2 linked regions of the Coturnix japonica genome follow. Each later gene encodes a partner of the first gene's protein in a complex. Links are inferred from orthologs where the notes say so. Each region holds a gene or a part of one and is shown in the gene's direction. Other genes may lie near its edges. The genes, in order: GINS3 and MCM3.

Evidence for each region.
Region 2: GINS3 (region 1) and MCM3 share a complex: the UniProt entries of both Homo sapiens proteins name them as parts of the CMG helicase complex. The link is inferred for Coturnix japonica from reciprocal best matches to the Homo sapiens genes GINS3 and MCM3.

What each region holds. Positions count from the first base shown.
Region 1 is NC_029526.1:2,064,498-2,080,844, forward strand, and holds GINS3 (DNA replication complex GINS protein PSF3), read left to right. Parts: upstream 1-5,595; 5' UTR 5,596-5,601; coding exon 5,602-5,841; intron 5,842-6,241; coding exon 6,242-6,475; intron 6,476-8,282; coding exon 8,283-8,513; 3' UTR 8,514-9,903; downstream 9,904-16,347. UniProt on the Homo sapiens protein: Required for correct functioning of the GINS complex, a complex that plays an essential role in the initiation of DNA replication, and progression of DNA replication forks.
Region 2 is NC_029518.1:98,084,893-98,101,194, forward strand, and holds MCM3 (DNA replication licensing factor MCM3), read left to right. Parts: upstream 1-7,145; 5' UTR 7,146-7,328; coding exon 7,329-7,409; intron 7,410-7,593; coding exon 7,594-7,706; intron 7,707-8,301; coding exon 8,302-8,510; intron 8,511-8,773; coding exon 8,774-8,904; intron 8,905-9,397; coding exon 9,398-9,636; intron 9,637-9,921; coding exon 9,922-10,030; intron 10,031-10,630; coding exon 10,631-10,784; intron 10,785-11,053; coding exon 11,054-11,185; intron 11,186-11,814; coding exon 11,815-12,023; intron 12,024-12,468; coding exon 12,469-12,643; intron 12,644-13,098; coding exon 13,099-13,225; intron 13,226-13,573; coding exon 13,574-13,724; intron 13,725-13,964; coding exon 13,965-14,105; intron 14,106-14,223; coding exon 14,224-14,327; intron 14,328-14,572; coding exon 14,573-14,655; intron 14,656-14,771; coding exon 14,772-14,847; intron 14,848-15,082; coding exon 15,083-15,281; 3' UTR 15,282-16,065; downstream 16,066-16,302. UniProt on the Homo sapiens protein: Acts as a component of the MCM2-7 complex (MCM complex) which is the replicative helicase essential for 'once per cell cycle' DNA replication initiation and elongation in eukaryotic cells.

The sequences.
Region 1 (16,347 bases):
TAACACTGCTTTCAACTTCATCAAAGGCAGAGAGGAACTGAAATCATTATTCTCCATTAATACTGTGACTTCAGGGCAGAAAAGGTATCTTTTCACACTGAATTTGTTATCCATCTTGATTTAGTCACATTGTGCATACACAATTTTTAATTACACGAGCTCACATCTATTTTTGGCAGAATCTCTGCTTCATTCAGTCCATGGAGCAGAAATGCAGAGGAACTCACCAGAATGAATGACACCTACTAGTTCCAAAAGAGGAGCAGAGACTGAATCAAAATGCATTTTTCAAGACTAGCTCTGTGAGAAAGAATGGCAGAAACAAACAACGCTCAAGAGAAAACTGAGCTTGCAAACTGAGTGGGCTATTATTAAGCTAATAAGAGAAGTAAACAGAGAGGTTTGGAGGAGAGAAGGGGAGGAATTTAGGCATTAACTTGCCCTGCCCCTGAGAGGCACATCTGTAGGCACAAGGACCACAGTCCTCCTTCCCTTAGAGTGAACTGTAAAAGCGATAAAACCGATGCTATAGTCTGGATTGCAAACAGTATTTCTAATAACCAAAATGAAAATAGAAGCAGATCTGAAGTTTACAATCCTTTTTTACCTCACCAAGTGTAATTTGTTGCATGAACTCCTGTTATTACATGGGGTTGGATTCAGCAATTTCCAAGAAATTCTTCTAAGTCACACTTAAGTGTGTAGCAAGTGTTTCATGAATGTTTCTTGTTTGAGGGAATATTGCCACGTTGCTAAAACCTGTTGTGGTTTAGACGGGAATTCTGTTAAAATTGCTGGAATTTCTTGCATTTGGAGTTCCCTAGATGGCAATTTACCGCTGTTTTTATCAACCACAAAATCTCCCTTTGCTGCAGTGAGCAGGGTCTGGCCCCACATAGCAATTCAAGCACTGAAATGTACAAGTTAATGAGTCCTTCCAGTCTCGATGAGGCAAGAGATATCTACACAGCCCAGAGGCTCTCTCTGCTGATAAGAAAACTGAAAAAACAGAGGGCTGATTTTCTCCAAGTCACAAACTGCATCCATAGCAGATCTCGGAGCTGTTCTGAGCTCAGCCTGCACTTCCATACATCATCCTTTCAACGCCTGCTGCCACGCATGCCTGCAGGAGGATGCTGGGGCTGATGACCTTGTCCTGCAGCAATTCTGACTGACCTGGGGCTCCCCTTCCCGTGGCTTCGGTTCATGTGGCAGCAGGGTGATGAGGCACATCAACATGTTCAGCAGCTCTTCAACTAAGAGCAAGGGGTGGTTTGTTTTTTCTCTTTAATGGTAGTTTAAAGTATAGATAAAGTATAGGATACAGGAGAAAATAAAAGCAACAAAACTACAAACAACAACACTCCAGTAAACTTTTCCATTCTCAGATATCACTGCACAATTTGGATGGTGCTATTACATCCATCTTTATCTTCACACAGCAAGTCCTGTACAGCACTGTATCTAAAACAGAGTCAGTTCAATCAAGTGATTTCATTCACTATAATTCATTTAACTTTACTGAATGCCAGCTGTGTCTGTTGCTCTCTCCTTCTCTTGTGTCAGTGCATACACACAAAAGAACTGCAGTATGCTCCACTTAGTCTGTTCTTATCTAGCCTGTCCCAGACAGAAACCCAGAGGGCCACTAATAGCACGGCTGATAGGAGGAATATCATTGGCTGTGAGTTTCTGAAGTGCCAGTGATTTATGAGTTGTTCGGCAGATGGAGCTGTTGCAGTGCACACCACGAGCTGCCAACTAGGCCAACTAGAGCGTTCAAAACAAGTATCTGCCTGAGGGTGTTTGCAAATAAATCCTCAGCTGTATCCAGGTAAACTTATGTCATCCAGGCAACTACATGCGCTTTTAGCAAATTGACTGGCTTGCTTAGAATCTCCTAGAGATGATTTTTAGGCCGGTGGGATCATTAGTATTTATACATTAGTATCACAACCTAAGCTTTTAATTTTAATGTGCAGTTGAAATCTGGCAAGCCCTCAAACCATGCCTGCTCCATTATTAGGGTACATAAAGACCTGCCTTTGCCACAAGTCAGCTTCCTTTGGCTGCCACTGGTGCAGAAATCCATGTTTTCTAAAGGTCAGATGTCACTACTGTGAAAATGGCAATTGTGGAATTGTTACGTTGCAGGATATGCTCTTGGATAACAGAGTGAGGGTTTCAGAATATTCACATATATGTACGTTGGGGAAGGGAATAAAAATAAGAATACAATAATTCAGCTTTCAAGAAATGTTCATTTAGGAGTATGACTCTTTATAGGTTCTAGGAAGATAAATACGATCATAAACTTAGGCATAAACCAGCAAGCGATTCATGGCACAATTAGAATTTGAGATAAATGGATTAATAATCTCCTACCCAAGCATCTAATTAAGAAGAGTCTGCATTCATCAAAGACTTTTGTTGACATTATACATTACTGAAGGGGAATGAGGATTTACTTTCTCCTTAGTATGCAAATTCATTACCATTTTCCCTGATGGTAGCTATACACACATGCAGGAGCCAGGGAATATTACATCTAGTAGAGGAGATTAGAATGCCTTCAAGAATTGACCCCTTATACCCTGTGTGCTGCATAATCTACACAAGAATAGCTTAGCAAGTCTGCCCTATGTACTTTAAAACGCTTTCCCATTTTCAGTATTAAAGATAGCATATTCTGATTCTGCAGCTCTTGGTCTACAGTTCCATAGTTCCATTTACATCAGCTCCAGGCCATCATGCCAGTGCACTGCTGGGCTGATGGTAAGGCAATGCAACACTTACAGTCCAAACCAATCTCTCACCTGGAGCTGCAGCTTTCATTCCACAAACATTCACAGCAGGTGATGCCATCAGTGGAGACAAGCTCAGGGACTGCAGATCAAACCTATGATGTCAGAGCCATGAACCTGCAGAGGACACAGACAGCGTTAGCACATTATCCAAGGGTAACAAAACCTTATGTCTAACATGCTATCAATTCATATGAATCTGCAGTTCATATAGAGTTGTCTCTGTAGTCCAGGATTGACCCTTCAGCCTTTTTTTTTTTTTTTTTTTTGCTGAATTTGGAATATTCACACCCATTTACTGAATTAGTGAAGGGAATCAATACCATCTCTCTCATCTCAGGAAAATGAGTTTCCACAATACATCAACTCTAAAACTTAAATTGACAATTGAAACACGGTGTTTTTAAGTGTGTCATTCCTAATTAGCTCTGCAGATACAGCTATTTTGGTCTGGGCAGTCTGAGCAAACTGTGATCGTGTCATTATTTCCTCCACTAATTGTTAGTAAGGAAATTGAATGCAGGGGAAAATTTAAAAGTGAAGGGACATTTTAGGTCATTTTGTTAGATCTTTATCATCAGGGTTTGACTCACACTTCAATACCATTTCAGATATGCTAACCAGCTCCACTTTAGCATCCCTTGTTGAAAAGGGGCAAGGAATTGCACAGAGAAGCAAGAATCACAGAACGAGTTGGGTTGGAAGGGACCTTCAAGCTCACCAAGTTCCAACCCCCAACCATAGGCATACACAGAGGATTATTAATCAGAAAAGATTTCACTCTTTTTAAGGACTGTCAACTGTAATATTGTAACACTGTAATATTACAATACACTGTCAACAACAAAAATTTACCGGATAGAACTGCACATTCCTTAGCAGATTTCTATTTATGCCATGGAGGTATTTGGCCCTGAAACTCCACTGTGAGGAGCAGATAGATTTTTAAACCCCATACTATGAAAAGAAGGTCTAAAACCATCATTCATCTCAATGAGATTACTCTGGGTTTGCCAAACTTTCCCCACTGATAGTGCTCTCCTGTTACGTTACTGGCTCTGCTGGCAAATACAGGACTACAAGAAAATGGTAAAATCAATGGATACGCAGGCTCTCCTAGAGGAGATTAAAACTCTGCCAAAAATCCACATCTGGGTTTGTGTGATAAAACCCGGCACTGAGTACAGCCCACAGACATGTATTCACTTATAGAATCTCACACAGGATTCTGTTGCTTTGATTCCAATATCCTTGGATACTGAGCTGATGAAGCTTGCACACTGTTGACTTATTGGCAATGAGCTGTATCACTGACCAGCTACAGGGGTGTTCCATGAAAGCTAAGATAGATTTCATGGCATCAAGGAGTATATTTCCTCTGGGCATTGAGTATCGTTTTGTTGAATGGCATTGGAGTGCATGCAACTGAACTGGAAGAGCATCACTCCCATTGTTTCCCTATGGCATTTAATGGGAACTTCGAGATGTAACAAAAAGGAAACTGCTGACATTTACTGTTTCAGACTGTGGGAAGGGCTCATTGCTTTGTTCAGTCGCTTGAGTATATTTCAGGCAGGAAAGGGTCTCCCTGTGAAGAACAAACACAGCATTTCTCTTTCATCCACACCACGTGAGTGTTCTACTTACATCATCACAGCCACCCCGAGACATCAAAAGTGTCAGAGATCCCATCAAGAGCTACTTGTCTAACTGTGGCTATTCACCTACCAGCAAAACTATACAGGTAACAATTCCTTGAAGATCACTGAATCCACTTCCTTATGAACAGGAATTCATGCAGTGAGTGACATTAGGGAAGAAAACACTGGAAAGTACTAGAACTGCTTCAGTGCTCCCTTTGATGGCTAAAAACACTGTCTGCAACACCAATTATAGCATGCAGTTTATCTTCTCTCTTCAGCGTTCCTTTTTAGAATGTACATCTTCCTTACAAATTCAAGCTGTCCTCAATTGCAGAATCTGCTCCTGAGAGCAATATTTATGCATCTGACATAGCACTCTGTTCTCTTACTGGTAATCCTGCTGAAGCCAATTGGCTTACCTCAGTTATTTGCCTGCATTTGCACAACAAAGGGATTGCAAAAGCTCGTGTCACAAATCCAGCATGACATTATTACTTACAAATAAGAACTCTCTGCCACAGGCGAAACAAGCAGTTCGGAAATGCAAATCTGTTCCTGAGAGTGGAAGTGCTGGAGGGAAAGGAGCAACCCAGGCAGTGTCAGGAAAGGATTTAGGGTAATGGCTCCGGCTGTGGGGTCAGATCAGACAGGAGGCAACCCAGCCTTCCCTCAGTGCTCCCAGCCATGTCCCTGCAGTTTCCTCAGCTGTCTTACTTCATGTATTTAATGCTATTTACGTTGAAACAGGCCCAGCTGTGCAGTATGATGAGCTCTCTGCAGAGCCCATTGAGGCTGCCCCAAGCCTTCAGTTCTCTCTACCTCACTTTGCCATCTCACACCACAACCTGATGCACTTGAAGAAAGGGATTTTCTTTATGTACCGCACCCTACAAGAACGTATTCCCTTTACATCCCTCCTTGCTCACAGCGCAAATCTGGCATTTCCATGTGAGGATCTGCCCTCCAAACTCGATGAAGAAGGGATTATTTTCACTAAGCCATCATCAAACCCTTGTGTTTTATTTCTCTCAGTGAATTAATGCAGGGTTTAATAAGGTTCCACCAACCAGCTTTAGCTGGGCTCTGACTGACTGGGCTCACCTCACACAGCACCGCCCGTTCCCGCCTCCGCGGCGGGCGGGAATTCTCCGCGCATGCGCAGCGCTGCCCGCTGGCGGCTGAGCGGGAGAGGCCGCGCTCCCACAGAGCTGAACATGGCGGGGGCGTATTTCCCTGTGGGCCCCGGGTTGGGTCCCGAGGAGAACTTCTTATCGCTGGACGACATCTTGATGTCTCAAGAGAAGCTGCCCAGCCGAGCCGAGAGCAACCTGCCCCGCATGGCCTTCGCTCTGGGCCAGGGGACCGGCGCCGGTTCCGGGGATTGCATCCCTGAGGTGAAGGAGTGCTGGGAGAGCGAGGCGCGGAGCGGGGCGGCCATAGGGGGGTATTGTGAGGGGGGGCGTTTTGTTCTGCTTTTGAGGTGGATATAAAGAGCCGAGTACTGCAGTAATAAGTATAAAACAGCAATAATTAGTGCCTCTGAATAGCGGCTGCTTTATCACAGTTAGAGCTATAGAGCCCTTAGAGTTGGAAGAGACCTTTAAAGGCCAACAGGGCCTGATCCAGCCTGGCATCACCAGCCTCCAGGGATGGGGCAGCCACCATCTCTCTGGTCAGATATATAATAATACCATATAATACCAGGTCTTCACTATGAAAGCTTCCTGTCAGCTTTGAGGGCTCATCCATACGTGTTTTCTTAGGAACAACCTTTACCTTTCTCTCTTCACACAGGGCTCAAAGCTGGAGCTCCCAATGTGGCTGGCCAAGGGGCTGCACGACAGCAAGAGGAGGCTGATCTCTGTGGAGCTGCCGAAGATCTACAGGGAGGCGTGGAGGACGGTGTTCAGCGCTGATGCCAACGTGGTTGATTTGCATAAAATGGGGCCATACTACTATGGATTTGGCTCCCAGCTCCTGAACTTCGACAACCCAGAGAACCCCGAGATAGCTCAGACTATCCTGCAGGCAAGTATTAGAGCTGAGGCCTGAAGTTTGTCTTTGTGTTTGTATATCTTCTTGTTCCCAGTTGCCCAGCAGACTGCAGGAAAAATATCTTGCTCCAATTCAGGTGACTTCATAATGGATTCATGATTTCTAGATCAAATGATATGACCCTTTTGGGGAATGGTGCAGCCTATTAATGTCAGTGGAAGCCTCAAGTGCCCATCCAAGAGTGGGATTTTAACCTGGAGTTGCCATGCTGTAAATATATTTCAGAAAATCCTGTAAAACAGGACTAAAGGGGGTACAGCTGTATTTAATTTGTCCCCCTGCTGCAAGGCAGAACCTATTTACCCTATTTTTTGTTTTTTTAACCTGTTTTTAAAGCTCTCTTCATATTGTCCTGAGCAACTGTTCCATTGCTTCACCATAGGCTTAAACAGAATCTGTTTCACAGCAATACAAGCTCTGTTCTGTTTGCCTCACACAAAGTAAATGCTGAGAACAGATTATTCTCTTCCTTTCTGAAGAAGGCTATTATGTATTTGAACATTGGTTTTCTTCACTCTGGGATAAATGGACCCAATTCATTTGGTACCTCACTATGTGTCATGCTTCCTAACCTCGGATCACTGCTGGTATTTTTCCAGTTCAGTTCCATCTGCTTTGACAGGCAGCATCTTGAGCAGCACATCTTCCTGCTTTGTGCCCTTGGAAGCAGAAAGACTCCTCTGTGAGTTTTCCAGGCCATTATGTTGTTTGCTCATCATGTCACAGCTTTTCTATTTTTCTCGATAGTGTGACATTGACACATTTGGTTTGCAGTCCATAGTGAGGTGGTAAAGCATATGCAGACCATCATTCTTCGTCCTGCCTTTTTGTAGTAAATTACTTCTGCCTTAACGTAGAACCTTGCAGTAGTCCCAGCTAAATTACATCCGATGATTTTCAGGCCATATTTCTAGTTTGCCAGGATTACTTGTGAATTATTGTTTTTGTCCACAGTCATCCCTCCTCCTATTCCTGCATGTTGTTTGCTAACCTAATAAACACAATTTCTATTCCATTAATTAAGTTTATTCATTAAATTATCAAATATTACTCCTTCCTTAGAGTGCTCTACCGAGGGCTTGCTTTCTGCTTTGAGGAGGTGATCACACCTTTTTTCATCTCTTCCTTCTGTTAATGCATGTCTTAGCAAGAGAACCACTACAGCACACATCACTAGTTGACAAATATCAAAGCATGCAAGGTGCAGCTTGTTGAAAGCAAATGAAAGGAGCTGTGCTGTTTTACTTTAAAAGAAACACCACCATAAATAAGGCGTTGACTCCTTATTTTTGATTGGGAATAAAGCCTTTCAGTATATCCTTTTACTTTTTAAAATGTTATGTGTTAGTTGTAGATTTGAGCAGGGGGCAAGTGTTATTTCAGCATGCCAAATGCTCCTCAGTGATGACGTATCTTCTGGTCCATTCACAAGCTGCAGCTTGTCTGTTCCTACAGCAGCTGTTGTGGCACAAGATTCATTCCACTGGTTAAATGAGATGGAGTAGATGCTAATTGTGTTACACCCTCTCGTCTTCTCAAGCCTGTCGTTAGAGAGCAGGCAAATCTAATTCCATGCATGCTTCCTCTCTGCTATATCAGATATTCACTCTGCAAGCTCATGCAGGAAGTAGTTTGTCTTTGCAACCAGGATTAATTGGTGCTGTGTACAGCAGCCCTGGCAGACCAGCTGTAAGCATCTCCCATGTCTTGAAAGGTTTCTAGCATTCAAGCTGAAGCAGCCTCTGCTTTACGTGTCAATAACTCTGCTTATCTTCTTTAGACATTTATTAGCCGTTTCCGTCGTATCATGGACTCCTCTCAGAATGCCTACAACGAGGACACGTCAAGTCTGGTGGCTCGGCTGGATGAGTTAGAACGAGCCTTATTTCAAGCTGGCCAGAAGGGGCTGAATGACTTCCAGTGCTGGGAAAAGGGACAGGCTTCACAAATCACAGTTTCCAGTCTGGTCCAGAATTACGGGAAAAGAAAATTTACAGACATGGATGGGTAAAAGCCTGAAGAACAGGTGGCTGCAACAGAGGACACCGAGATAGATAGTCACAGAAAGGAAAGATGAATCAGCTTTGGGAAAGGACAGATTCCCAGTCCATTAACAGGAGTTCTTTCCTAACATCTTCATATTAGCCTAGTGCAAATCTTGAAGGCAGATGGCAAGGATATTAAAAATAGATCACATCACATTGCTGGATAGCCTTACAGCTTACTCATACCACCCATGAGGATCTGTGGTTATAGTGCTTGCTAAGTGGCTGAAAGGATGTGAGAGGATTTTCTAAAAGGGTAATTGATATTTATCATTCTTTAGCTTCCAAATTGATATTTGCAGTGCCAGATCTGTTTGGAAAACAAGTGTAATTGTTTATATTCCATCCTTTCCATACGAGCCTCCTGGGAACATCTGCTTCCAGCTTCCCTGTTCTTTGGAGAACCCCAGATATATGGAGGAAAAAAAAAAGTGCTAGAAACTACACTGCACTTTTCCCATTTCTTATACATTTAAGTTTAACAGATGCTCTCCATGAGACAGGGATCCCTTTCCTTGCTGATTTTTGTACACAGCATTAGTACTTCAGAGAACGCTTCTCCACCTGTGCAGATCTGAGGAGCTGCCTTGTCTTTTCTTTCCCTTCCAGCCTTTGTGGGATCAGTGCTGCAGGTGATGGAGGATGTTCCCATCTGCTGTGAGTGCCTTTTGTGATGGATGTGCTTCTGCAGCAAACGCTGAGCTCTTCCACTCATTTTACAGGAGCATCAAAAGTTAGTCTGGGCTGGTTTAAAAGCAGGTGCCTTAATGGAATTCATCCTCCGTTATCAACCTGTGTCATCTGTTTCCGCCATGTGAAAATCTACTTACTAAGTTCAGTTGGCAGTGGAGGGACAGAGCAAATGAACTGAGTTTCCTTCCTTCTGATCCATCTGCAAAGTGATTCTAGTAAATATTATCACTGCCAGTAGGAGAGACTGAAGCTGGTACTCGAACAGCCCAGCATTTATCATCCTACCCCTTCCTGCTCCAGGAGTCACAAGGAGACAGCAGCGTTTCTGATGCAAGACCTTCAAGATCTGATGCACCAAGTCTTGTAGGAGTTGCTTGTCTTTGGAGGTGTACCTGGCCATCACATTCTTCAGACTAAAGACCTGCAGTGCAAATGATGCATGGTCATTCCTCTGAAGCTCTGCCCTGGAGGTCATGAGAGGGGGCAGGGTGTTGGCTTCAGCTCTGCTGGGGAGACTAACTGGAAACTGCCTCACAAAGTATTTGGAGTACATACAGGCTCAAATGCTGCTGTATGTAGTAGCCTAGACATTTTCCTGGAATATTTGTCTATTTTCTATTTCTGGATTTTTATGCTGAATAAAGATTTTTAAGGGGGAAGTTATTTGATGTCCATTGTTAGCTGTCCAGCAATTAGAAATTAGTCACAGATAGTGCAGATCTCTGCAAAGTCACGTCTGCAGAGGACAATGTAGTCCTGGTCACCCCATGCCCATTCTCTTTTAGGTGACGTGGTCATGAACTGTTTTCCTGCAGTCAGGTGCAGTCAGCTGTCTAACACACCCCACGTGAGTAGTAGCAGTTTGTTAAAGCCATGGCACAGACACAAAATCAATAGCTTTTATCAGGTTGCAAGTCTGCATTTTCATGGAGATGATTTTCAGCAGCACAGCAGCCAACAGGTGGGAGTTGGCTGTTTCTGTTCATACCCTGCTGCTCCAAGTGCTAAAGCACAGATTGCAAGTCATGTGTCAAAACTGCATCCAGTGTTCCAGCTGTATGGGAAGCAAGATTAACTCCACCTGTGATAAGAACATTTTAGGTTTGGAAGTGTTATGTTAAGATGGTTGCTTTGAGATCTAGTTGGTTTATAACCAAAAATCATTCTCTCCGCAGTTTCTAGATTAGATTTGATGACTCTCTGAACTCATTTTGTTGTGTTTGTAAGAACGTTTCTCATCATTACTGCTGGGTACAAATCCCAAGCAGATGGTGTACGCTTGCCAGTGTTTTGTGCAGCCAGTTTCAGAGTAGGGAGATTGAAGTAGTCCTTAATGTCAGATGTCACTTAGTAACCCTGAGTGCTTAGTAAAAAAAAAAGCACCATAAACCGGTTAAATTTCTGATCCTGCAATCTTTAATTGCTCTTTCTGCTAGTAGATCTGATATTCTGTAGATTTTATTAATTTCTGGCAGGAACGCTTTATTCTGTTTGGAAGCACTTTGCTGCTACTGCAGACACCCACTGCTGCTGTTAAGCCTTCAGGGTAGCTGACAAAAGAATGCTCTGTAATTTTTATGAACACAGACTGTCCTTTATGATTGCGCAGCAGCAAGCTGTGTCAGAGGAATTTGAACTCCTGTATTATCAGAATGGCACAATAGCTTACTGAACTGCACAAAAGAGGTACAAAAAGAGCTTTTAAGTGTCACTGCTCCCCATGTTTCTCATCTTTCACACTGCGGGATTACTGATGTCTGATGTCTATGAGAAAGCAGCCCGTGGACGTACTATACAGCATTGCTACACTGTTCTCCATGGCAACCAAAATTAAGTGAAATTCGGAATGCTGGTTAGTTATGTGTTCACATTAAAACTCAAAGGAACATTCTTATGATGTGTTTTTTAAGAAACCCACAGGCTGGCTTGATCTGGTCCTTCCAGACCCATCTCAGGGCAATGTTAGTCTGAGTAGCTCCTCAAAAGCTGTTTCTGCTGGACACCCTCCTTGGATGCTCCGTTCCATTGCCATGCTGTGCTGTGTGACAACCAGGGTGCTGATGTGCACCAATGCAGCAGAAGATGGAGTCACTTGGACTCCCTTGCAGTGAGCTGTCACGTTGGTCAGTGAAACTGAAAAGCTTTCCTCAGCTGAATTTCACATGGACTTCTAACACACCAGGCTTCTTCACTCCATGTATTCTTCCAAGTATGTGAGGCAGCTGCAGGTGTTTGAGTCCCAGTTAAACACAAAGAGCTTTGCAGTCACCCATGCACAAACCCTCAGCTATCCAAACTGCTTCTTCATAAGAGTTCTGCTTTACTCCCTTGACTTTCATTGACATAAATGAGGCTTCACTTCATCCTCTGGCCTTGGTTTATTTTTGGTCAGCAGAAAAAAAACCCAGCTGTTGATTGCTTCTGCTAGCCAGGAAGCTTTAGACAGAGTCATTCAGACCAGCATCCAAGAGAGGTGGCAGTAAGGAGTACTTTGAAAACTGACATGCTGTAACACCATGTACTACTTGTAGCACAGGAACAATGACATCTAACTGAATTGAAGAGCACGAGCATTCCCAGTTTTGATCTGTGTAATGTGATGGAAAGTGTAGCAACAAAAAAGTAGTAGTGAAATCCTGGGCTGTGGCAGGTGAGGATATACTCAAATGTGGTAGCCATAAACACAGAAAAAGAAAGGAAAAAAAAAAAAAAGCTGCTTACCCTTAGAAGACCTTCATCAAGCAGGAACCTCCAGGGAAACATCCTTGCTCCCACTGCCAGCCCTTAAATGAGGTCTGGGAAGGGGAGGAGCCAGAATCTGGTCATTCAGGTACATTGCTTGCACCTGAGCTCCACTGGGTTGGCCCTGCCTTCCCACCGGGTGCTCCATCACTGCTTCAAGCTGTGACTCAGCATTTCAACTGCAATCCATGATTTTTAGCCATTTTTGGTGATCAGCTCTTAGAAGAACCACATTCAAAATGTCAATTAACCCAACTGCTGAACAGAGATGTGATGTAAAACAGCAGTGGGACAGTGGGGTGTGCTTTCTTTACACAGAGCTGCTTCTGTACCCAGATGTGCTGTTTATAAGAACACATTGTCTGACAGCACATCATACGGCTCAGAAGATTGTGGTTTTATTTAAACATCCACCTTTCTGTTTAGTGCTGCCTCTGCCTCAGAGGTAGTTCTGTACCTCAGTTTCTTTTTCTGATGGTTGAATGATTTTGTGCTCTGGATGGGAAGCAGCAACGTAATTTCTTACAGCCAATATGTTGCCAGGCTTTCACAGCTCTGCTGCATCTGCCAGAGCTCAGCTACTTACTTGGTGAGTGCTTGACAGTGCTAAAAGATTCCCCTTTTCAGAAATCATGCTGGCTTCCTTGATGCATCCCATTAAATCCTTGCTGCTAAGCTTCATCAAGGCTGCCATGTATCTGATTAAATACGGAGAAGCACTTTTCTCACCCTCCATCCTTCTCCCCCACCCAAACAGCCAGTTGGCCCAGCAGGAGATTGGCCAAGCATGGATAGCTGAGCCTGCATTTCTGCTCCATTTGCCTGATATTGCCAACTCAGAAGTACTTGTACTGGAGCTGACAGCAGCCTGAGCACTAAACGCTGAGCTGAATCGTCACTGGGACTTCACACAAACACTGACGGAAGGATAACAGCTACTGTGGTTTCATCATGTCACATTGAATGGGGAATGAAGGGAGACCACACACATTTGAAACTTATTTCTGATGGGTTTGCTTTTAAGTCTGGCTTTGGGAGCTGATCTCCAGTTGACAGAGCATGTTTTGCTTTGTTTCATGCTGACCAGGCAGAGGGATTCAAATCTGGGGCAGTCAGATCCTGTTTGTGAAAGAAACTGGGCAGTTAAAAGTGTCTCTGGCTTCAGATCACCTGTGTGCTGCATCTCCTGCTGCCATGACCGTGTGGCCATGGCCTGGGAGGGCTGCTGTGTGCCCTGCTGACCAGCAGCTGGGAGAGGAGGAGTCGAGCTGGAGATGTTATTTTTGTGTGAGCCCTACCACAACTGCTTGTTTCAATTGAAGGTAGTGAGAACTCTACTGATGTTCTTGTGCCTTGGAGACTAAAGTAGATGGGTAAGTGACTTCTTGTAGTGAGTGAGACTCAAAATGGGTTTAGGTTGCACAGTGGTCAAGAAGGAAGAAGGAAATCGATCCTGGGATCCCCTTCCCCAGCACTGAGGGCTGTCAGCTTCCCAGCACAGGTGCCAAGCTTCCTGGGATCCAGGCTGACCCCACTGCTGCACCACAGCACTGTGCATGAGAGCAGTGTGCTGCAGCAGCCAGCCCACTCCTTGGCTGCATGGAAAGTTACAGGGGGTAGCACAGCCCCAAAAAGCTGAGGCGTTTGTTCTGGTTTTCAAAACACTTCATTAATGTGATTGGCAATGCTAGAAGGTTCCTGAGATTAGAATGCTGCTATTTTTGAAGAGTTATTTCTGATGGCGGGCTGCCAAGCAGTGCCACCGGCCTCTGTAATCTTTCTATCTGATTGGCAGGACACACTGTGGTCTTTTGCCTTTTGTTAGCCTCTCTGAAGCCACATGGTTCCAGCTCTTCACAGGCTTCTCCTACAGTGAGAGAAAACACACTTTATCCAGGTTTTCCTGCCCTGTGGCAAGGCAGAAATCCCTCATGTTGTGGGGTAGAAATCATTTGTCCTTTAGATGCTGGTATGCTGCTGAGTGGGGTTTGGTGAAGGAGATACCTCCTGAGAGTCGTGGCGATGCTGTCCCATCTCTGTTGTGATGCTGTGATTAAAACAACAGCAACAAAAGTGGTAAAAGGCAAATGGACATTGTGCAGCTCTACCTGTGCTCACATCTGGAGTAGCTCACAAGGCTGTGTCTGTCTCCAGCAGTTCTCAGAGTCCCTCAAGGGCTCTCAGGTGCTCACTAGGCAAAGCAGGAGAATATTTGTTACAAAAATGGCTTGTGAACATGCATAAACAGGAGGTCTGGCCTGAACAAATAGGCAGAGTTTTCCCTGACTTCAGAGCAAGAGATTGGCAGATGCTTAAGAAGCAGCATGGCTTTTCTTCTAATGCATTAGAGCAAAATGGGAGTAGGGAGATAACCACCCAATAGCACAGTCCTTTAGCTGGGGGGCTTGGCAGCGATGTACATGGGAACTGTGAAGCAAATAGAGAAATAAAGGCACCATCAAAACAGCCCTCAGATATTTGCCTTCAAAGCCCACAGCTAGACTGTAGAAACTCTGGGGGAGGCATTAATACCTGTTTGAATGGCAGAGGCTCCAGGTTTGCTCCAGACCGTCTGGATTTATTACCATCATTTTACCAAGCACTGTCTGGAGCCTGAGCTGTGATTTTTGCCATTCAGTTTGGGCTCAGGTGCACAAACACAGCTCTGTCTGCCTGGCTGGCACAGGCAGAGATGGGCACCGCTCTGCATCTGCACCAGCAGCATCAGAGGGAAGCTCTCTGCACCCAGAGCTTTGAGTCAGCAGGGCAGGATGACACAGAAAAAAAAGAAATCACTGCATCGTCTTCCTGCTTACCTCTGTGCACAGCTCTGCCCTCCCACAGCCCTGGCTCTTGGCTGGGTTCCTTTGGCAAAGGGATCCAGCAAGGAGTGGCTGCCACCTGGCAGACCCCTCACCCGGCCCCTCTGGCTGGTGGCTGCCCCTCTCTTCCCCCCTGAAAACTCACAAGCTGATTAAGCCCAGCGTGTTAATTGGCTGTGACAGCTCATTTTGTTATCTCGTAGTTCATTATTGATGGGGTGCGTGTGACTGGATTCCAAGCAAAGGTCAGTGCCAGGCCTCCCTTTCTGCCTGGCCGGGACGTGGGCACAGTAGGGCGGCAGCTCTGAGGATGGCGCTGGTCATGCTGTGCAGGGGATGTCCCATGGCACCGGTGGCTTCACCTTGGCTTCTCCAAAAAACAAGGGGCAGGAGTGGGGAGGGAGGTGTGCAGTGGAGGATCAGGAGGATGCAGTGGTGTGCTTTGGCTAAAAGCTCCAAAACTAACGTGCTGTCCCTCTGCCTCCCTCCTCAGCAACTGCTGGGATCATGGCCCAAATGCAGCACGACGTGAGAGTTCATTAGTGAGGAGCAGGATGAAATCATTAGGGCCGATGGATCCCTCTGAGCAAGAGGCATTGATCAGCTGCAGGTCAAGGAGAAGGTCAGGGACAGAGCCAGCAGGGTGCAGGCATGGGGAGCTGGGTGTACAACTGCTCTATGAAAGCTCTCAAGCCAAGTAAGGAGCAGGGGGTACAGAGACTGACCAAACTTCATCCCCCTGGGAAAGCAATGTGTGTTTCCAGACCTGGTGCCCTCAGCACCCCAGAACTGTGGTGCCCCCAAGCAGCCAGCAACCTGCCCATACCTATCTGTGTGTCCCCAAACACCCCCAGTGGCAACAAGGCAACTATGAAATGTTGGGGAACCATCAAACCTTCCCACTGCATCGCCACCTCCTTAAGCCACCCCAGCACCCTGGAGCCTTGGGGATGGCATTACCCCACTCTCCAGGGGAAGGTTAAAGTGGGCATTGCTGCTCGTTGTGCAATTGGAAACGCTTTTTAATGATGGAGCATGCCAGACTCTGGGCTCCAAGGAGACACCTTGCAGGCTGCTCTGTCTCACGCCTGTCAGCTTGTTAAGCACATCTGTATGCACACAGTTGCTTTCTGCACAGCTCTGCTCTGCTCTGCTGATAGGTATTTATTTAAAGCCTGGCTGTGAGTGGGAGCTGCTTCCTCCCTGCCTGGGAGGTGGCACCTGTCCCTGTGCACACCAAACCAAGGCGGGACAGGCAAATGCTGTGGTTTCCATGCATCCTGAACAAGGTTCTGGTGTCTCTTGAGGCATTCCAAGGCCTCCAGATGGAGACTGTTGGACACAGCTCTTGCTGTGGACACAGAGGTAACACCTGGCCCTACTGAGCCCCTGCAGGCGCAGCCTTGGAACTGAGCTGGCAGCAAAGTCCTCATGGCTGCCATGCTCCTGGCTTTGCCCTGAGCTCCATCACTGCTGGGTGCAGCTGATCTGTGGGAATTCTGCCTGGCAGCTCGCTGGGCAGGTTGTTGGTCTGGTTTTTGAT
Region 2 (16,302 bases), on another chromosome or scaffold:
CTCATCACACATGACTGTGCTTAGACTGAACTCAGTGCTGATGAACCAGACTCTGTACTCCTGTCCACCCAGCACATGCATATTTGCAGGACTGGGGCTGGACTACTAAGCTCATATACACCCAAGTGCGTAGACGTGACCAGAAAATAAGTAAATGGTAATGAGTATTTTGCATCAGTGTGGGAAATGCTTTATTTTTCTTTTGTAGCATCTGCTGAGAGAGGCAGAGGACCAGTCTGAGCGGATACACACCAGGAGGCCCTCAGCAAGCTGGTGTCACCGTATGATGTTAACAATCAAGAGGAAGTGAAAGCAGAGATGGGAGCTGACAAACAGTCCCAGGGTGAGATAGCACAAAGAGCCAAGTCTGAGCAGACTCTGCACTGGCTTGCATGTCCCACTTCCCCTCACAACTCTGATAACAGACAAAGAATTTTCACTTTACTTCCTTGTTCTTGGCGGATGGGGGCTGTCATAACTGACATTACTGCATTTTCCAGCCAGTTCTTTTTCCTTGTGCTTTCCAGGCTTTCTTCATTAGCATCTCTCAGGGCTGTTGGTTTTATTTCCTTTGCCACAGAGAATGTGGCTGCTGCGTCCGCTGGAGCTGCCCTACAAGAGCTGGAAGGGAAGGTGGTTCCTAAAATGGGGTGATTTAGTGTCAGAGATGTACAAGGCTGAATGCAGGGCCCTCACTGAGGGTCTGACGTTGGCAGATTCTCTTTATTTCTCTCCTAAGGGGGCAGAGCTATGACAGGACACGTGCTTCATTCAGAGGCCTGTGCATTCCCAGGGGATAAGTGCCAAAATTTAGGAAGGCAGATTTGATATATATATATATAATCTATATATCTTCACCTCAACTGATCCCAGCACAATGCTGCAAAACCCTCCAGGAAGGTGCATGGGTACCAAAAGCAGTGCTGGGGCTCATGAGGACAAGGTGCAGGGCTCCCAGAGTTCCTCAAATGACGGAGGAGACAGACAAACACTCATGCTGACACCGGGACATCAGAAACTGAAAAACCACTTGGACATAGCCCGGATTGCACAAAGAGCAGGATGCAAGGATGCAGATGGATTCAAGGGGCATGCTGTGTTTTCCACCACCCCTGGCATGCCTGCTTTGCATTCTGATGAGCATATGAGAGGAACAGCAGCATCTGTACCAGGCACAGGCTGGCTCTAACTTGCACACCAGGATTTTGCCACAGTCTCATCTCGGATACAACAAGCATCACCCTTGAGCAGAGCTAAGGATAGACTGGGCACTGAACTGAGAGCAGAGATTCTTCCCAGCTGGGAAACACCAGGTTTTAACATGCAGAAGGAAAGGGGGGCAGACATTTTCAAGCTAACAGTCGGAAATCACAAGAAACGCATGCGGTGCTCAGACAAACAGTGAGTAAATCAGGAATCCGGGCAGGCTTATTTTAAACCAAACTTGTGACACCGAGGAGCGAGAACAAGTTGGCGATTTCCAGTGATCATGTGATGGACAAAGCAACGAGCAATTAGAGAAAAGGGAGCGAGAAGGGGAATAATAACAAAAAGAGAGAGAAACCCCAAGGTCAGCACTGGCTGTTTTGCGTTCACAGAGCCCCTATTCTTTCCCTCCCGCGGGGGTGTTGGAGCAGCTGAAAGCCACATTCATCAGCAGGGCACCTCGCTGCCATCCCCTCCTCACCCCCATCTCCGGGGGATTCACTTCTTTTGGCTGCTCCCAATTAACGGCAACCAAGTATCGTTTGTTCAGGGATGGAGCTGCCAGGAGGGGTGGACAGTGGCCAGGCGGGATCATGGCAGTCACAATGCAAACCGTGGCCCAGAGGAGGAACGATCCCGTTCCAATTTCTCCTCTCCCTTTCTTCAGAAGTAATTGGAAACCCGAGCTTTTTCCCCAGCTCTTTTGCTTTTGGTCACAGTCTAATGGAAGGGTTTGAATGAGAAGATTTCCTGCAGGGTATTGCTGATTTTCCCACCAGCCCAGACTCAGCGTTAACTCTGTAAGTCAGCCTGTAGCAGCTCCATGTATTGGCTCGCAGGGTGCTGTGCAGACACTGGGCTTTACACATGCACATCTGCTTCCAGACGGGCAGCAATGCCTGGGAAACAAAGCAGAAGGCACTGCAGAACTTGAACCCTGGGGAAGACTTTAACAAATGCACTGCATTTATAAAGGAAAGTGGTTGTGTATGGCGTGGAAGTAACAACTAATTCCTGAATTCCACTCTTCTGTGAGCTGTGCAAAAGCCCATCAGGTGCATCACAGGTTGCTGTTTTGGAAAGGTCCCACCATAGATGGGAAATGGAGGTCCTAGAACGGCTGGGGTTGCAGTGACATTAAAGCCCATCCAGCTCCTGCCATGGGCAGGGACACCTCCCACAGCCCAGGCTGCCCATAGAACCATCTATAACCTTGGGCACTGTAGGGATGGGGCACCCACAGCTCTCTGGGCAGCACTGCCACTGCCTTACCTCCCTCATTGTGAAGCATTACTTCCTTACATCCAATCTAAGTCACCCCGCCTTTAGTTTAAGGCCATTCCCCCTGGGTCTATCACTACACTTTCTGACAGAGTCCTTTCCACCTTCCCCCTTTAGGTATTGGAAGGACACAATGAGAACTCCCCAAAGACTTCTCCAGACTGAATATACCCAGTTCTTAGTCTGTCTCCATAGGAAAGATCACAGAATCACAGATGCTTTACTCTCTGGGCACCTTCATGGCCTCCTCTAGATATGCTCCAACAGCTCCTTGTCCTTTGCTGATGTCCGGAGCTGTATGCAGTGCTCCAGCTTGGATCTCACAAGGCCCCACCACCAAGTCCAACCACCAGCCTGACCTACTGAGTCCGATCACTAAACCAGGTCCCTTCATGATGTGATGGTGGAGTCACCATCCCTGGAGGTGTTGAGGAACGGTGGAGATGTGGCACTGAAGGATGTAGTCATCAGGCGTGGTGGGGATGGGCTGACAGTTGACTTAGGGATCATCAACCTTAATGATTCTATGATTCACTGGAGACTCCCCCCCACGTCTCTGGGCAGCCTATGCCAGTGCTTGGTCACACAACACAGTAAAGTGCCCACATCTCTGAATGGCAGCACGGCCTTCTGCTGTGTCAGCCACTCCTCCCACTTCTGTATCATCAGCAAACCTGCTGAGGTTGCATTCTATTCCTCCAGCCAGGTCATTGATGAAGATGCTGAATGAGACCAGACCCACAGGTTTTCCTTCTGACCTCACTATACCTTTGCTCTTTGCCCTTTCTAGATTTGCTCACCAGTTTCTACCCCCTCCCCTCCCCACACACACCCAAAAGCTTTCAGGTAGGTGTGTGATACCAGTGAGCAGCCTGCACCCACCAGGTGGAGCACCCTGACCTGACTTGCTTTGGGCTCACCAGTATAGAAACAAGAGCAAAGCCTACTCCCTATCAATGACCTGTGTCTGCCAGGTTGTTTGCACACTCCTAGCACAGTTTTGTTGCAGCCACCCACACGCAATTCGAGTAACTCCACCTTGCTATGGAGCAAACGGGGTTGAGGCATGCAGGCAGCCATCCCCTGCCAGCAAGCTGTCATTCAGCCACGCAGTGATGGAGTGGGGTGGCTGACCTGACCCGCTTCACATGCCAGCACTGGATTGAGCTGAATGGTGCCACAGAAATGCCCATTTTTTTTTCCCCTCCTCACAAGCTGAAAAGGCAATTTGGATTTGTTTCAACCGCGTCTTGCTTTCACAACCCACATCTCCTCCCATGATGTCTGTGCAGCATCCTTCCATCAGTGTGCACGCAGCATCCCTGGGCCCTCATTGCACCAAAAGCATTGCTGGAAGATATCTCAGACTGAAACTGTTCAGCTTTCCTACAAACAAACCATCACCCACAAAAAGCCCGATGCCCAAAAACATTTTGAAGGCAGCAGATTTTCAGGCTTGGGTCATCAGAAAAATATGCCCATCCATCACGTGCGGCACAGGGAGCAGGGAGAGAGGCAGCAGGCAGAGCATGCAGCTGTGTGCCAGCCCTGGAGCTGTGAGCTGCTGTCCTCCATGCACTGCAAGTCCATATCCCCAGCCTCTGAGGTGAGCAGAGCTGCACGCAAAGCTCCTAGAGTAGATGGCCAATCCCCCCCTGCAAATATGGGATGCTGAGGATTTGCTGGGGGGAAGATTAAAGCACATACGCCTGAAGGACACGAGGTACGGCCACCAGCTTGCAAATCTCTTACGCAGACCCATAAATTACAGCTTCCAGGACAACACGCTCTTTCTGTGCTTTGGGTTTGCTGCTCAGCCTTTCGTGCATGGAATGACACAACGGCTTCAGGCACAGCTTCAATGTAAATACATACAATCAGCAATCCCACAAGCCAGGGGCCGTTAAACAACACCTTGGTGGGAGGAAGTGTGCAAAGGCGGTTGGGCTCAGCAGGGCCGTGCTTCTAGGAACTGTTTGTGCTACATTGCACCCCTCGGAGCTGAGCTGAGCTGAGCGGTGCACTTGGCAGCTCGCCGTCCCCTCCCTGCCCCAGCAGCGAGCACAAACAGCCCCGCAGCCCGCATTCCTCTCCCGCAGGGCATCCAAATGTCCTTTCTCATGACCTTTCCATGACTGCAGCATCACAGTCACCCACGTCCCCATCCTCAGCCCTTCAGGTTGCAGTGATCTCTCAGTTAAGTGCCCCTCCAGCATGGAAGGGAACGTTATAGAATGGCTTGAGTTAAAGGGACCCTTCAAGGCCACTGTCTGCACTGAGCAGGGACACCCACAGCTCCATCAGTGCTCAGATCCCATCCAGCCTGACCCTGGCTGTCTGCAGGGATGAGGCACCACCACCTCTCTGTGCAACCTGTGCCAGTGCCTCACCATCCTTATTATTGACAGCTTCTTCCTTATATCTTCACCTCAACTGATCCCAGCACAATGCTGCAAAACCCTCCAGGAAGGTGCATGGGTACCAAAAGCAGTGCTGGGGCTCATGAGGACAAAATGCAGGGCTCCCAGAGTTCCCCAAATGACGGAGGAGACAGACAAACACTTATGCTGACACCAGGACATCAGAAACTGAAAAACCACTTGGACATAGCCCGGATTGCACAAAGAGAGACTGCACCCTTGAGCAGAGCTAAGGGAAGAGCCCATCCAGCCTGACCTTGGCTGCCTGCAGGGACGGAGCACCACCACCTCACTGTGCAACCTGCACTTCGCTTCTCTCCTTTCCCATCTCCAACCATCCCACAGCACCCACCAACCGAGCTACACCTCCACCCTACAGCGCACAATAAAACCACCTGCAGCCTCCATGCAAAGCGAGATGCTCACGTAGGAAAAACCCAACACCCACCCACAGCAAACAGCCCCAGGGGAGCAAAACCCCCAAACCATCACCATGGACACACAAACTGAACCCGGAGCGGTTCTCCTCGCTGTCCCCTCTCCCTGTCCCCGCAGCCGCCCGCACTCACCGCACCGCACCGCCGTGTCCCGCAGCCACCGCCTCCAGGCACCGAGCGCATGCGCTCAGCCCCGCCCCGGGCTGCCCCACCGGCCGGATCTCGGGTTGATCAGCGGCTGTTCCGTCTCCTTCTGGTCTTACAAATGCTTTGCAACCGAAGCTTTGTGGGCATCGCTTTGTTTGCTCGCCCCCTGACCTGCTACGTGCCTCCCCAGATGCTCTGATCTGTTAAGCTCGGGGTACTTTACACCCTGAAATGAATCACCCGCTTTATTCCCTCCCAGGTGTGGTTGTGTTTGCTCCGGAGATTGATCCCAACAGGTTCCGACTCAGCTGGGCAGGGTTGGGCTCTCCCTGCCTGTCCCCCACCCCAAAAACAGGGGTAAAATGGATGAGAATTGCCTATTATAGGGGTAGGGGGGATGTGTTGGAAGGGCCCCTTTAAGGCCATCAGTCCCACTGCACAGGGACACCCACAGCTCCAGCAGTGCTCACAGCCCATCCAGCCTGACCTTGGCTGTGTGCAGGGATGGGGCACCACCCCTGGGCTGCTGGTTGGTGACCCTACACACAGCATTGGGTTAAAACCAGATGGTGATTGTGGTCCTTTCCAACCCAGGCCATCGTATGGCTGGGTCCTGTGACTGAGGGGTCACTCATGGTAAGTGGGATCCCATCCCTAATGGGTGCAGATCAGCAGTGCTTTGTATGCAGATGGGTGATAGCCAGGCTCGTAGCAGGGGAGAAAACCAGGAATAAAAGGAGCCAGCTGTCACTGCCTTTAGTAACAACCAGAATTCACGATAACAGATGAGCAGACAGAAATAGCAACGCGAAACCTCCAGCCATCTATATTTGGGCTATTCAGACCTCCTTGGAAACACAGTATTATTCATTGCTTTATTTTGCTTTCGCATGACAGGAGAAGGGAGCGACTCAGCATCATGTTGGCACTGGGGGAGCTGAGCATCGGGTGCAGGACCATAGGAAGACACTGCAGCCCTTGCTCTACATGCATTCAGGTGCCTGATTCCTGTTTAATGTTACCCCTGTAAGGTCCCCATAGGAAGAGCTGCCTCCATCCTCGGCCTTCCCCGACCTGTAGCAATGAATTATTCACTCGGCGTTCTCCGTGCCGAGGCTGTTGCTATAGGGCAGGCTCATGAATAACAACAGGCGCTTATTTTTAGCCCTAACTCGTTACCGTGCTGCTGCCCTTGGTTCACAGCCATACCTTCAGCGGGACGAACCCCGCAACGCCGCTATGGGCTGGGGCTCCCTTTGGATTTACACACAGCACTTCCTTCCCAGTTTATGGGATGGCATATATGGCCACCTACGTTCTCCTTGCTAAGATCCCCTTAGAAAAGACATCCGTTACCCCATAGGGAGTCTCCGCTTTGCTATCTGCAGCTACAAGGTGGGGGGGGGGAGGGCAGGGGAGATGCTTGAACCTGGAACGGGGTGTTACCCCAGTGATAATAAGGAATCAGCAATAAATACACTAATTTAGATCCTCATCCCGCTGCTGACACCCAAAGCTCAGCCGGGACCCCAGACCCCAAACGCCCCATTCCCGCCCCCGCCCCGCCTCCTCCGCTCCCATTGGCTGCCGCTGCTGCGCGTCAACTCCCGCCACTTCCCCTTTGCCTCCCATTGGCTGACGCCCGGCGGCGCCGCCCAATGAGGAGCGGAACTCCCCCCGCCGTGGCGGGAAAGCGCTCGGTTTTGGCGCCAAAGAGAAGCGTGGAGGTTGCTGTGATCCGGGCCGGCGTTTGGGGTCTGCTGGGGATCTATAGGATCTATAGGACCCTTTAAAGAGCAACCCGGTCCTTACCTGTTTACTACCCCCTCCCTGCAGCATGGCAGCCCCAGCGGACGGGCTGGACGATGCGGAGCTGCGGGAAGCGCAGCGCGATTACCTGGATTTCCTGGACGATGAGGTGAGCAGCGGCGTGTATTGCGGGATGCAGCCTCCCCTTATAACCGGGGGTGGTCATCGCTTCCCCCCCAAACCCCCCAACAGGAGCCATGGCGCTGGGGCTGCTTATTCCCCAGGGAATAAATGGAAATGGCTTTACACGGCTCATGTGAAACTGAGGGTTGTGTTGTTACCTATGTGTGCAGGAAGATCAAGGAGTTTACCACGGCAAAGTGCGCGACATGATCAGCGACAACCAGTACCGCCTCCTGGTCAACATCAACGACCTGCGGAGGAGGAACGAGAAAAGAGCCAGCCGGTACGGGGGGGGGGGGGGGGGGGTGCTGTTGTGCCAGCCAGCCAGCCCTTACGAGCTTGCAGCCCATTGATAGAGCAAATCCTGTTTGTTTGAATCCTTACAGTAAAATTCGGGTGTTTGCATGGTGTGAGGCGTCTCAGCTTTAGGGTTCTGGGGTCTTTTTGCAAGAGACTTGCAAATGGTTTAAGTACAAGTTGAGATGTGACAGCTGCGAGTTGGAGGTCTGGGTTGGATATTAGGAACAATCTCTTGTCATGAGGAGCAGTGATGCAGTGGCACAGCTGCCCAGGGAGGTGGTTATGGAGCACCCCCATGGATGGTGACCCCACCATGGGGATGTGGCACTGAAGGACACAGTGGGCACAGGGGGGTTGGGCTGGGTGACTGTAGAGGTATTTCCAACCTTAATGATCCCCTGTTAGGTGTTTCAGATGTAATTGGGTTTGTTCACCTTCAGGCTCTTGGTCTCCATGAGCTGTGGGATTCTCAGTGTTCTTTCAGAGCACACCGAGGCATCTGGAAGGGATTTCTTAGAGCTGCCAAACAGGGTTGCCAACAAGATGCAGCTCTCAGCCATCACCTCCCTCTGTTGCAGGCTTTTGAGCAATGCCTTTGAGGAGCTCATCGCCTTCCAGCGTGCTCTGAAGGACTTTGTTGCCTCTGTTGATGCCACCTATGCCAAGCAGTATGAGGACTTCTACATTGGGCTGGAGGGCAGCTTTGGTTCCAAGCACGTCTCACCACGGACGCTGACCGCCTGCTTCCTGAGCTGCATTGTTTGTGTGGAGGGCATCGTGACAAAGTGTGAGCCTGGGGGCAGGTTGGGATGCTGGGTGGTGTGAGGAGCAGAGGGTCGGGGTGTTTGGTACAGCAGGAGTCCTCCAGAACCAATGGGAGGACAAGTGGAGTGATGGTAACAGTGGACTTGAATGTTGGGAGCTGCAGTCCTTGGCACTCTGGTTATCAGCACTTTTGTCCTGTGCATATAGTGGATATCTTTTTGGGGTTTCATGGTGACAAACAAGTGGGACTTTTCTGCCCCTAACTCTTCTTTCTTCCAAACCCAGGCTCTCTGATTCGTCCCAAGGTTGTCCGGAGCGTCCATTATTGCCCAGCTACCAAGAAGACCATTGAGCGCCGATACACAGACCTGACATCCCTGGATGCTTTCCCTTCCAGCTCTGTTTACCCTACAAAGGTGAGGTGAAGCGGCCTCATATGGGGAATATCTGCATGTTCCTCTGGGGAGAATATGCTGGCTCAGCAGGCAACATGATCAGCTGTTGGTTGGCATGCTTGTATGTGGCAAGGGGATTGAAACTAGATTGTCTTTAGGGTTTCTTCCAATGCAAACCATTCCAGCATCCCATGGTTGCTGTCTGGAGGGTATGTGGACCATTGTGTGCAGGGATTGCCCTGTGCTTGGGAATGGAGGAAGCTTGACCTAAGCTATGTCTGTTGAACGTGCATTCTTTTGCATGGCCTGCCTGCATTGGGAGCAGTGCTTGGAGGGTTCTAATGTGGCAGTGCTTGATGCTGGCAGCATTAGATCAGGGGGAGCTGTATTGCTGGTGAACTGCAGGATCTGGTAGTCCAGGTAAAGCAGCCCTTTGCAGTGCTCATGTGTGTGTTGGGTGATGCTCTCTTCCCAGTGCTGCTAATCTCTTTATTGCTGTGCCTTCTTCCTTAAGGATGAGGAGAATAACCCCCTGGAGACAGAGTTTGGCCTCTCAGTCTACAAGGACCATCAGACCATCTCCATCCAGGAGATGCCTGAGAAGGCACCAGCAGGGCAGCTGCCACGCTCGGTGGATGTCATTCTGGATGATGATCTGGTGGACAAAGTGAAGCCTGGAGATCGCATTCAAGTGGTTGGGACTTATCGTTGCCTGCCAGGAAAGAAAGGAGGTTACACATCAGGGACGTTCAGGTGAGCCTTCTGCTGGCTTCAAGGACAACATCAGCCTTGACACCCCTTTTTAGCAGGGTCCCATCCCTCTAAGATGAAACATAGGGCAGGTTGGATGGGGCTGTGAGCAACCTGGTCTCGAGGGAGGTGCCCCTGCATATAGCAGGAGGTTGAAACTGGGTGATCTTAAAGATCCCTTCCAACACAAACCATTCTATGGTTCTATGAAACTTCTGCTGTTGTTATGATGACCCTGAAAGCTCTATGAGCTTCACAAACATCATTGTAGCTGTGTCGCTATTCCAGGACTATCCTCATTGCCTGCCATATCAAGCAGATGAGCAAAGATTCTCGGCCTCTCTACTCTGCGACTGACGTGGCCAAGATCAAGAGGTTCAGTAAGAATCGCTCCAAGGTATTTATGTAGGTCTTATTTCTAAGCTCGCCTTCCATGATTTTCCTCTTGCTTTCCCTGCATTTTCTACGTAGCTTTTTGTCAATTTCTGTGATATATGTATGTATACATATGTATTACATGTAGCTGTAGCAGAGTTTCTGATGGCTCTGCTCTGTTGTGCGTAGCTGTTGAAATGGAGCTCTGTCTGGGCTGTGTGTGCCCTGACTGCTCGCTGGTTGTTAGAGAAGCTCCTCTGCAACGTTCTACTTTTCCTCCTCAAACCTAAGAACGGAATTAGATGACAGCCTGGATTTCTGAAAGGAAACAAAGCAAAATGCCAGTTCTTTTGGTTGGGGGAGGGAATGGGGGCCTGCCCCCCAGTCTGGTCCTGTGTTCAGATCTTTGTTCTTGTGGGGGTTGCTGCTTCCAGTGCTTGCGAGGTGGTCTAGGACTTCAGAGCCCCCATGGAAAGAATATTCCAACAGTATTCTCCCATCTAAATAACCTCTGTCAGTGTAGTTCTGTGATAGGAATAAGTTCCTTTTCTGGTGCTGTAATGGGCTTGTGAACTTGTTCTTCGGTCCACTTACAGGCTGTGCTTTGCCTCTTCTGCCTTAGGATATCTTTAACCAGCTGGCGAGGTCCCTGGCACCCAGCATCCACGGGCACGAGTTCATCAAGAAGGCCATTCTGTGCATGCTTCTTGGAGGGGTGGAGAAGGTCCTGGAGAATGGGAGCCGCATCCGAGGAGACATCAACATCTTGCTGATAGGTGTGGAGAGGCAGAGCAGAGGCAGCTGAGGCTGATGCTGTGGGAGTGAGATGAGGCTGTTCAAACAGAACTTCCCATGATCCATGTCACCTCTTCTCCCATCACTATACGTATCTTAAAACCCTGGCTCCATCTTCTCCCCATCAGGATGATGGAGAACGTGATCCACTCACCTTCTGCTCTGAAGAATGAACGACCCAATTCGTTGTCACGTGTATTCATTTCCCTGCTAACACTGTGTTTGCTAAACACATTCTTCTCTCTTCCAGGTGACCCTTCCGTTGCCAAATCCCAGCTGCTGCGCTATGTGCTGAGCACTGCTCCCCGTGCCATTGGCACTACTGGCAGGGGCTCCTCTGGTGTTGGTCTGACTGCTGCTGTCACCACTGACCAAGAAACCGGTAAGGAATGTTCTGGTTCCCAGTGGGAGCTGGTGGACGGATGGTAGTTAATCCTTGGGATGGACTCTGCAAGGTCCGGGCCTGTTTGTCCTTCTTGTAGAGGCAATTACAGGACCTGCTTTGTTACAAGCTTTGAAGCAATGATGGTGGGGGTGTTTTCTCTATCTTTGGTGGTCTTTAGTTCTACTGGGTGTACCCCATATGGGGTTGGTGGGCAGTCAGGAGCCCATGTCATTTCTTCTTCTTCAGTGTTCTCCTGCCATTACATTGGGTGAGAGATCATATAATCATAGAATGAATCATAGAATGGCCTGGGTTGCAAAGGCCCACAGTGCTCATCCAGTTCCAACCCCCTGCTGTGTGCAGGGTCACCAACCAGCAGCCCAGGCTGCCCAGAGCCACATCCAGCCTGGCCTTGAATGCCTGCAGGGATGGGGCATCCACAGCCTCCTTGGGCAACCTGTTCAGTGCGTCACCACCCTCTGGGTGAAAAACCTCCTCCTAAAGTGGTTGTCCCTGAGGCTGATGATCCTCCTCACAGGGATGCTGCTGCAGTGGAATGAGACAGTAGGAGACACTCAGGGCTGCAGAACAACACTGACCTTCTTTTCTCTGCCCTCCCATCCCAGGTGAACGGCATCTGGAAGCAGGGGCCATGGTGTTGGCTGACAGGGGTGTGGTGTGCATCGATGAGTTCGACAAGATGTCTGACATTGACCGCACGGCCATCCATGAGGTGATGGAGCAGGGCCGTGTCACCATCGCCAAGGCTGGCATCCACGCTCGCCTCAACTCTCGCTGCAGCGTCCTGGCAGCTGCCAACCCCGTCTATGGCCGGGTGAGTGCTGGTTTCTGCTGCTTCCCCCCATATGGGGGCTGCTAGGAGCTGTCCTTGATGAAGATAAAATCCAAATGATCTCCCAGACTTGCTTCTTAGTGGAACTGAGGTGCTGGAAGACTTGTTTTGCTTGGCTACTGCTGCTTCTCATGGGTATCATGAAGGTTGTGGGGGCCCTGTCCAACATGGCCTTGAACACCCCCAAGGATGGGGCATAAAATAAGATAAAATTGCATACTTGCAAATGAGAGCTACACTCATCTTCCTGAGTGGAGTAAAGAGGCTTTACTCCTTGAGCAGGCTGTGTTTAGCATGGTGTCTTTGGTGTTCAGCTGTCTGTGCATCTACCTTGAAGGCCTGGCTTGAGAGGGTCTTTCCACCCTCCCTAGCAGCCAGCAGTGACCCATGAGATTCTCTTGTAATCCCTTTCTTCAACCTCTTGTAGTATGACCAGTACAAGACTCCCATGGAGAACATTGGCCTGCAGGACTCCTTGCTCTCCCGCTTCGACCTGCTCTTCATCATGCTGGACCAGATGGATGCTGAGCAGGACAGGGAGATCTCAGATCACGTCCTGCGAATGCACCGCTACCGCAACCCCAATGAGCAGGATGGGGATGGTGAGCTGTTCTTGCTGTATATAAAGCCCAGGAGTTACAGGTTTTCTTTGGCTGTTGTTGCTTCCCTTTCCCTTCAAGCAATGGTAAAGTCCTTGGCCTGGACCCTATGGCAGGTGGGGTTGAAACAAGGTGATCATTATGGTCCTTTTTAACCGAGGCCGTTCTGTGATTCTGTAATTCCCTTGTCCTCACTGCTGAGCTGTGACCTTGAAGCAGAGTGTCCATCTCTCCTTTGTAGCTGGTGCCCATCTGTCCTGGATAGCTGTGGTTGAGGTGATGGGGTAGTAGATGGGGGTGGGCTTCTTACACGGTGACACTGTGACACAACCCCAGGCTTCCAGGTTGTCGCTTGTTAGCAGCTGTTTGGGTTCAGTTGTCCGTGGCTTTGCTGAGTGCTGCCAGTAGGTGGCTGTGAGAAGCTAAAATCCTGTTCTTGGCAACCCTTCCCTCTCCAGCCATGCCCCTGGGCAGCGCCGTGGAGATGCTGGCTACGGATGACCCTGATTTCGCACAGGAGGAGGAACAGGAGCTCCAAGTGTATGAGAAACACGATGACCTCCTTCATGGACCCAACCGACGCAAGTGAGTCTCCTGTCCTTGTGCCGTGAAGCTCTCCGGGGTTTTCGATGGTGATGAGCTGATGTTAAAATACTCTTGGTTTGGTTGGAGCAGCAGGGTGTTGGCTCATTTTTGGGGACAGTGATGCTGTAGATTGTCCAGCAAGGTGTGTGGGTGGGCTGCAAAGGGGGCCTGCTTTGGGTGCACTGTTCTCAAACACCAGGCAGATGGGAGAACATCTTGAGCACAGCTCTGCATTGTAACTGGATGCTCCTAAGAATAGCACTCTCCCTGGGTGCAGCCTGTACGTGCCCTCTGCTTATCCCCTTGATGTTCCCATCAAGAACATGGGCATGTGTGCATCCCCTGCAGGGAGAAGATCGTCAGCATGGAGTTCATGAGGAAGTACATCCACGTGGCAAAAATGATCAAGCCTGTCTTGACCCAGGAGTCAGCAGATTACATAGCAGAGGAGTACTCACGCCTGCGCAGCCAGAACCAGATGAACTCGGACATTGCCAGGGTGAGCTCCCTCTTCCCTCTGATCACACCAGGAGAGAAACTGAGGCACATGCTTCTCTTTCGCATTACAGGTGTTTTCCTCCCTCAGTCACAGAGTGGTTGAGGTTGGAAGGGGAGCTGTGGATGTGAGCTCTCAGTGTTACAAACAGGGGTGAACCAGATGCTGGTGTTAATGCTACAGTGGGGGTCCAGCATGGTCTCGTGAGCTCCAGTGTCTCACCACCATCTTTCTGCCCTCCAGACTTCCCCTGTCACAGCCCGTACCCTGGAGACATTGATCCGCCTCTCCACAGCCCATGCTAAGGCCAGGATGAACAAGACAATTGATCTGCAGGATGCGGAGGCAGCTTTGGAGCTGGTGCAGTTTGCCTACTTCAAAAAGGTGGGAGAAAGGTTGTGGGGTCCCATTCAACCCCCTGCTATGTGCAGGGTTGCCAGGCATCAGACCAGGCTGCCCAGAGCCACATCCAGCCTGGCCTTAAATGCAATATCTTATGCAGGTACTGGAAAAGGAGAAGAAGCGCAAAAAGCAGGCGGAGGATGACTCAGAGACCGAGAAGGAGGAGGAGGAGACGCAGCCTCAGAAGGAGGGCAGGAAGCAAAGGTAGTCATGGCAGGCCTTGGGGAGATAGCTGTGTTAAATCCTGTGGGTCTTTTGGGTGACACTTGTAATGCTGGAGCCTCTGGGAAAAGCTCCCAAATTTCAGGGTTTGTGGATGAGGTCTGAGTTTACCCACAAGCTACAGCTGCCCTGTCTTGTCCTGGCCAGACACTTCCAGGAGCCCTGGGGGTATCTCTTGAGGTCTGTCCTTTGGTGAATCAGGGCTGACCTCCTCTTCTCCCACCCAGGAGGAAGAAGGCACGCACAGAGGGCGAGGAGGAGTCCTACGACCCCTATGACTTCAGTGATGCCGAGCAGGAGATGCCAGAGGGTGAGTCAGGGCTTTCAGTGGCATCACTCACCTCATCCAAAGAGTCCACCTGCTTTTGCTTGTGCTCGCTGTCTGTTTGAGGAAACAGGCTGAAGCAACTTTTCTTCCTCTTCCAGTCCAGGCACACACTCCCAAGACACCTGAAGCCTCAGCCACTGGTGAAGCAAAGAAGCTGGAGTTGGCTGACCCACGGTGAGTCAGGGCTGGAGAAGCAGCAGGAGGATGTTTGTCCTCACCTGGGTCTGTGTGGGGGCTGCTTGGACTCAGGCTGTGTTTCCAGTAATGACTGCAGCCAGCAGGAGGTGCTGGAGATGGATGCAGATAGGGGCATAGATGGAGCTGGTGGGTTGGCTGAGATGTCCTTAGCTAAGAAGGGAGAGGGAAAGGTCTTGATCTTGGCCACTGATGGAGGTGACTTCTCATCCAGGTTGAAAGCATTCAAGGCTGCCTTGCTGGAAGTCTTCAAGTCTTCTCATGCTCAATCCGTGGGCCTGAAGACTGTGATGGAGTCCATCAACCGCGACAACCCTGAGCCCTTCTCGACCGCTGAAGTGAAGGTGGCACTGGCCCACATGCAAGATGACAACCAGATCATGGTGTCTGATGACATAATCTTCCTAATCTGAGCCTCCAGGAGGAAGAACCCAATTTCTCATGGGACTTTCAGTCTGTAAACTCTTTGTTATCACCTCTCTCCTGAATGCTTCATCTGGCTGAGCTGAGCTTTGGGAAGCACTTTACTGGCTGTGCATTGCTGGCACCAAGGGAGCCAGGAAAAGTGGAAGCTCTTTCACTTGCCACCTCTGAACTGGAGTATTTGGGAAGAAGTTTGGTTCTGCAAGTAGCCAAAAGGAAGAATTTATGTGCAAGTTGCTGATACGCTTAACGTGTTCTTAGCTTTGGCCTGGGTTATGTGCAGGCTCAGGTTGGTTGTACTCAAAGCTGGTTGGTTTTCATACAGCAGGGCTCCCAATGGCAGGCTTTTGCCCATGTAAATCTTTTTCTCCCCATTTTTAAATTTCTCCCATGTTTAATTAAAACAAAAACATGGGTTTAAGCATTCAATAGCAGTGCTAGTAAGAAGCAAATGTAGGGAGGATAAAAAGGAGGAGATGGGGGAAGTTGGTGTTGTTTTCCTAGACACCAACATGCTCCCAGGGCCTGGAAGGGTTTTCAAAGCAAGCTGAAATCACGGGTTAACCTGCAGCCAGAGCTGGTGAAGTCTTGGGATGTTAAAATTCCATTATTTTATGGGTTTTTATTTTGGTGAATATGAGGTTAAGCTTTGGAGAAGACCCTGAGCAGCACAGGCTCTTTCTGTTGTCCTTGTGCCACTCAAGTACCCTTATTTGTGTCAGTGACACCATCAATATTATCTTACATAATAAAATGCGTCTAGATACCATTTGATACTGTTGCTCCTGTGACTTAGTGCTGACTTGGACCTAAGCTGTTCCTGCTTAGCATATATATGCCCTGTCTCTGGAGGTGTTCAAGGCCAGGTTGGATGGGCAGCCCCTATTTCCCACCCTTACTGCTGGTTCTCTGCTAATAGTGCAACCCCCATTGTAAGTCACCAGGGGGAGCTCCGAGGTAGAGAAATCGCTTCATTGGACTCTCCCACAGCCTACAGGGAAACTCGAGTCA